2 linked regions of the Saccharomyces cerevisiae S288C genome follow. The protein of the gene in region 2 purifies or fractionates together with the protein of the main gene of each other region. This does not show direct contact. Each region holds a gene or a part of one and is shown on either strand. Other genes may lie near its edges.

Region 1 (3,868 bases), on a different chromosome or scaffold from region 2:
GCTCGACATTAGCACGAAACTTCTTCTGTTTGGAGTCTAGTTGTTTATTATTTGAGTCAATTGTAAGGGGCTTTAGTGGTAAGGACATTTTTTGTCGATCCTCTCAGAAAAAGCTGCTCTGTCGGCTTTTTATTTCACCGTTATAAACATAATTGGGAGGCTTGAGTTTTATATTAGGTATTGCTATTGTTCCTTTTCCAGTGAGATCGAAGCTTAGCCTTTGAAAAAACCAAAATCACTTTTGATCACGTGCCTCGGGTGGAACGCCCAGCAAATATATAAGTATGTCGTTTATTAATAAAACGGTAATCGGACTCTAAATATTCCTTCTTTCAGCACTCGCTTATGTCGTTATAAAAACTTGATTAATTTGAGTAATTAGCAGTTTTTGCCGTAGGTATGTTTTTAGAATGTTCTTTTGCACAGTCAGAAGCGTTGTTACCCATAATTTCGTGTTGAGAATATTAAATAATTACGTAAATGATCTGCCAAATGCTGACAATGATTGAAAAATAATTTTAAAGTTTAAATAATGCAAAAAATTTGTGTAAAAAGAATATGTGTCAACCTAAGCCGTTCCATACAAATAAATTTCCATCCCATGCAGTTGAAGCCACATATCCTGGCTTTCCCCACAAGCTCCAGTCAGCTCCAAATACGAATTCTGAATGCTGTGTGAAATTGAAAATGGAACCTTTAGTAGCATCCGTAGAGTTAGTTTTATATGTTTCTTTTGCACCATCGTTGCTGAGATCTCTCCATATTCGACAGGTCATATCATATGAAGCTGACATTAAAATATTGGAATGATGAGGGGACCAGGTAACTTTTCTGATTGCCAGCCCGTGCGCATTAGGGATTTCATTGATGCATGATGAATTGTGAAGTTGGCCGGGCACAGTCCTCTTGATAGTCGCTGATTCATTTTTATTTAGCATCCTAATGTCCCAGATTCTAATGGCATTATCTACACCTCCTGTGGCAACTACATAAGGTCTGTATTTGTTGAAATCGCAAGTCAATGCTTCTAGTCCTGAATGCACTAAAAAATTATTCTGATTTTTGCCGGAAGGTAGTCTAATGTCAAATAAGCTTGCATAAGAATTCCCTGAACAGGATAATACGAGATTTTGGTCGTGGGGCGAGAACTGTGCTTGGTATACACAGTTCCTGTTTTTTGAAATACCTGTAAAGCTTTTCTTTTTCAATATAATGGCGTTTAATGGATCCACCATTTTGGTAATCTCTAAAGGTCGTGGAGTAAGGGTCATTAAACTTTGCTTTCTTAGAGGGGACCATATTTTTATAGATCCATCCCATGAACTACTTAAGAAATTCTGCCTGTTGACTAAGTTCCAATTACAACTGAATACTTCTCGTTCATGCTCTTTAAATATAGCAATAGGAAACTCTTTAAAGGTTGTATCAAACAAGCGTAATGTACCATCGCCCTGTGCAACCAACACTTGGTTTTCATGACTTTCGTTCCATGCAAGATCAAATAAACAATCCTGTGTTAAAAAGGAATTAACTTCCACTATTCTACCTGAACGATCAATCTCAAGGATGAACAATTTTCCATTCCCAACCAGGCCAAAGTTTGAACCAGCAGCTACCGCGAGCCTGTTATCGAAAAAGGGAGAATACTGGACACCGTACCCACTAAAACCTTGCATATGATATCTGAGCATGTTGTATAAATTATGCAAAAAGTTAGATGATAGTCCGTTAACAATATGAGATCTCTGCACTTTTCGAGCGTCGAATTCCAAATCAGAAAGAAAACGATTTCGACCTCCGGTAAAAGATTTTATGGTAAGAAAACACAGTTTGTGTTCCACAGTTCTTAAAAGTGTTTTCACCTTTTACTGTTTTGCGAAACGACTTTTCAGAGGAGGTTATGTCGGTGGTTTAATTTCTCGGCCTTCATATTTACTTGCTGGAGACATGCAAATTTCTGATTAACAATGATTATAGAACTTTAAGTAGAAGTAAAGAAAAATAAGTATATGATATATATATATAAAGATGCAGATAAAAAAAAGGTAAAAGGAGTAGAAAATAATGTCTGAAAATGGATGACTGCCAATAGGACATATTTTCATATTAACATACTTCAGAAGCGGTATTGTTTATTGTGATGATCGTTGCTCATTGTTATCATTAGGGACGTCGTTATGAATGGTGGTGTCCGAACTGCTTGAACCTTGGCCTTGAGAGGGATTTTCGTCTGTAGGAGGAAAGGCAGCAGAATTGTTGTTGCGTAGTTCGACGGTAGTAACATCACCATTTTGATTTCTATAACTGGCAACACCGGAGGAAAACAAGTTATTTCTGTTGTTCTCACCAGTACTTCCACCTCGTTGTTGATCATTGCTATGGTTATTGTCGTTATTGTTGTCTCTTGAGCCATTCGTAAAATGGCCTGTTAATCGTGAAATATTTTCCAAAAAGGAACTTCCTTGCGTTGTATCAGAGGACGATGAGTCATTACGTCCTTGGTTGTGAACAGTTTGTGCTCCGGGTGCTGTTGTTGCAGAGGTATCAGAAGTTCCCCTCTGAGCAACGTTGAATATGTGATCCAAAACGGCTCTTAGTCTGTTGTGGTGAGGGTCTGTAGCGTCACTACTAGTGTTATTTGAGTTTGGACCGTTCGCTGCTGATGGGCTTGCCGAAGAATCAGAAGCGGAAGGATTCGGATTTGGACTGTGGAATTGGAACAAAGTCAAAGGGATGGGAACCCAGCGCGGACTTTGATTGTTATTCGAACCACCAGAATTAGAGGGTGGATTTTGAGTAGTTGAGCTCGGCCCGTTGACACCGTTTCTATCGCTATCATTAGGCGGTAAACGGACTGGATTGTGTAAAGGTTGGCCGTTTTGAGGCACTAAAAAAAAGCCTGTTCTTGATAACATCTGTTCGCCAGAACTTGCATTTCCGATAGTGGGAACCGTTGTATTGGACGTGTTTTCGGATGGGGCGGAACTATTTTCGTTAGTGCTATTCACTGCAGTTGGGTCGTATAAAACTCGTCTAATACGTTCAAAAGCAGCTTCGTTAGCTGCTACTTCATCCGTATCTTGTTGGGCTGCACGTTGAACACCTACAGATTCGCTGATCTTTTGTCTACAAAGGGGACAAGAATTTTCTAATCTTGACCATTTGTAGATACATTCCCTCCCAAAAATGTGGCCACAAGGTAACTTGATTGGTGAGTGTTTGTAGCTTGGATTTGTTTCTTCATCATTGAGAGTGCGTTGTTGTTCAGTGAGAGGAATAGAAGGCGGTTCAACAACCGTAGCATTTGTAATCGATGGGTTACTGTCATTATCGGCGGTTGTGCGTAGGGGCGCACCTTCATTATCCTTCCTTTTTTTTGTTCCTTCAGATTCCTCCTCATTTTCAGAATCCCTTTTTCTTTTTGCTTTAGTTGAATCAACTTCATCTTCATATTCGTCATAACATATACTACATAAGGGCCCTTCGGCCTTGGGTAGATCAGAAACTTGCAGAACGGGGAGCTTATCAAACTCATCCTTTGATATTCCTTTTGGTCTATTTAATAGTCTGTTGAATCTCTCCATTGCAAGCTGAGCAGCAACAGATATGAAGCTGTTCAAACGGTCTTGTGGAGTAGACGCAGGAACATCACGAAAAGATAAAACAAGAGCACCGTCGGGTTGATGGCCCCCATTTCCGATGCCAAAGCTGGGCCCAGTACCGTTGGCAATCGTGCTACCGGATGCTGCGCTGTTGTTTTCGTTATTATCATTATTAGATATATTGCTCAAATGTGCTAATCTCTCCGGAGTGAAATAGGAATACTGAATGGAAACGGTTATGTTTCTTGTTTGCTCAGCACCACCAT
Region 2 (3,073 bases):
GTTTAATACTTCGTCTTCCTGCTTTTGAGCCAGATAATACAAGACATACATTAGATCCGTCATATAATGTGAAGTATTCAGAATAAACGGCACTATTTGATTCAGCAGTATAACATTTTTCTTGTTGTTTTCGGATATTCCGTCATTGAGCAAAAGTTTGGTTTGTAAAGACGAAACTGTACTTTCATTAGATTCTCGTGTTTCACTCATACGCCTTTATATGCTATCACAGTTACCTTATTTGTCCTTTTTCTTGTAGAGCTATTCTCTATTCTGCTTTGACTTAACTAGCGTGAAATTAAAACCAACGCCGCTTATCTAATCACAATAAAAGATCAGACTGTGAAATTAATAAAAAGGAAAGGATAAAACGACAGATATCGCACTAACTTTGTTAGAAACATTATGCAGACAAAAGAAGGAGATGCATGTGCCTTTGTATTCTTTTAAACGCAAAAAGGGCAGGTCTATGATTAAGTATGAATGAGCGATATAAAATTTAAGTAGAAAAGGGAAGATAATAGTACTATATATAAATATATAAATGCATTTTTTTACATACCTGTTGGGTGAATAATTTACCTAGCTGTTGGATTTGCTGTTACTGTATTATTGTCGTCATCATTGCCATCGCCTTTATTGTTATCATTGTTATTGTCATCATTATCGTTGTCACTGTCATTAATCTGTAACTTAGACTGTATATCGTAACATTCAGACAGCCTTGTTAATGAGGTCATGCCTTCTAGGCTTTCTTGATCAATGTCCAGAGATATATTGGGTTTGTCTAATGATCCTTGATGAGATTGATGCTGCAGCTGACCTTCCCAAGGCCTAGGTCTTGGCCTCAATGAAGGAGTACTAGCTAAACCCTCATCCAGCGTAACATTGGGCACCTCCACAATATTAGGTATAGGCTTGTTATTCAGAATGTGATCCAGCAACTCTTCATAACTAAGTTCACCACCTGCTGCCATGCTTGACTCGTTATGTTCGCAATCAATTTTCAAGAGGTAAACCGAAACATGTGGAGCTCTTTTACAGGCTCCGATAATAATAAAAGAAACTTTAATAGTTGGTAAGAACTTGACAAAAAAAAACACAATATATATACATAAAAAAGTCAACAACTGACAAGCAAGGTAAAAGGTGATAAAGTTGAAAGATGACTGGCGAAGAATGGGGCTTGACTGTACTGTCATTCTTGGTAAGAGTCGGATTTTTTCTTTTTGGCATTTACCAGGACGCTAATTTCAAAGTGAGGTACACTGATATCGACTATTTTGTGTTTCATGATGCTGCTAAATATGTATACGAAGGCAAATCACCTTATGCAAGGGATACATATCGTTACACACCGCTACTAAGTTGGCTGCTAGTGCCTAATCATTATTTTGGATGGTTTCATTTGGGGAAGGTCATATTTGTTATTTTCGATTTGGTTACTGGGCTCATTATAATGAAGCTTTTGAACCAGGCCATCTCCAGAAAAAGAGCTTTAATATTGGAAAGCATTTGGCTATTGAATCCGATGGTTATCACCATCAGTACAAGGGGAAACGCTGAAAGCGTGCTTTGCTGTTTGATCATGTTCACGCTTTTTTTTCTACAAAAGAGTAGATACACCCTAGCTGGAATCTTATATGGTCTTTCTATCCATTTCAAAATATATCCAATCATATATTGTATCCCAATAGCAATTTTTATATACTACAATAAAAGAAACCAGGGTCCACGAACACAACTTACATCGCTACTCAATATCGGTTTGAGTACTCTAACAACTTTGCTTGGATGTGGTTGGGCAATGTACAAGATATACGGATACGAGTTTCTGGATCAGGCATACTTGTACCACTTATACAGAACGGATCACAGACACAATTTTTCAGTGTGGAACATGCTATTGTATTTAGATTCTGCAAATAAGGAAAATGGTGAGTCCAATCTCTCAAGGTACGCATTTGTGCCTCAATTGCTGCTTGTTTTAGTAACTGGATGTCTTGAATGGTGGAATCCCACATTCGATAACCTATTGAGGGTTTTATTTGTGCAGACGTTCGCATTTGTGACATATAATAAAGTGTGCACATCGCAATATTTTGTTTGGTACCTGATCTTTCTACCATTTTACCTCTCAAGAACGCACATTGGTTGGAAGAAGGGGCTTTTAATGGCCACGCTTTGGGTAGGAACGCAGGGAATTTGGTTAAGCCAAGGTTACTATTTGGAATTCGAAGGCAAGAATGTATTCTATCCTGGACTATTTATTGCAAGCGTGTTATTTTTCGTCACCAATGTGTGGCTACTGGGTCAATTTATTACTGATATTAAGATACCGACGCAACCCACAGTTTCCAACAAAAAGAACAACTGACTGACGTGAACTTGCACCATGTACATCAATTCTATAAATCTACTCATATAATGAATGTGTAAATATGAAAAAAAAAATGCAAAAGCGCACCACCAAAAGAGAAAAAAGCTGAAAAAAAAAAGGAAAAAGATACTTGATGTGATGTGTGAGTGAAAAAATTATTAATTCCTACTGGATAAAATCACCCCAAGGAAACAGTTCAAGAGCTAAACTAAAGAAAAGCATATTGCATAAAATGTTAAGAGAAGTCATCTATTGTGGAATTTGCTCCTACCCACCAGAGTACTGCGAGTTTTCAGGAAAATTAAAGCGTTGTAAAGTTTGGTTATCTGAAAACCACGCAGACCTTTATGCAAAGCTATACGGTACTGACGATAATACGCAAGAGGTGGAAGCCGTGACCAACAAACTGGCTGAATCCAGTATTGGCGAAGCTAGAGAGGAAAAGTTGGAAAAGGACTTGCTGAAAATTCAAAAAAAACAGGAAAACAGGGAACAAAGAGAATTAGCTAAGAAGCTGTCATCGAAAGTGATCATTAAAAGAGAAGCTAGGACCAAGAGAAAGTTTATCGTCGCTATCTCTGGGCTGGAAGTTTTCGACATCGACATGAAAAAGCTAGCCAAGACATTTGCGTCTAGGTTCGCCACAGGGTGCTCAGTCTCGAAAAATGCAGAGAAAAAAGAAGAAGTTGTCAT

The links.
Region 1: the proteins of YJR012C (region 2) and PEX7 purify together in Saccharomyces cerevisiae (affinity purification with mass spectrometry, with the first as the bait; 2 studies listed by BioGRID). This does not show direct contact.

What each region holds. Positions count from the first base shown.
Region 1 is NC_001136.10:739,910-743,777, forward strand, and holds PEX7 (Pex7p), read right to left. Parts: upstream 1,692-3,868; coding exon 564-1,691; downstream 1-563. Other genes in the region: DOP1 (Dop1p), read right to left, coding at 1-88; ubiquitin-protein ligase SAN1, read right to left, coding at 2,133-3,868. UniProt on the Saccharomyces cerevisiae protein: Receptor required for the peroxisomal import of proteins containing a C-terminal PTS2-type peroxisomal targeting signal, such as 3-oxoacyl-CoA thiolase. Specifically binds to cargo proteins containing a PTS2 peroxisomal targeting signal in the cytosol.
Region 2 is NC_001142.9:459,217-462,289, forward strand, and holds YJR012C (uncharacterized protein), read right to left. Parts: upstream 978-3,073; coding exon 579-977; downstream 1-578. Other genes in the region: CAL4 (Cal4p), read right to left, coding at 1-210; GPI14 (glycosylphosphatidylinositol-alpha 1,4 mannosyltransferase I), read left to right, coding at 1,166-2,377; TMA22 (Tma22p), read left to right, coding at 2,613-3,073.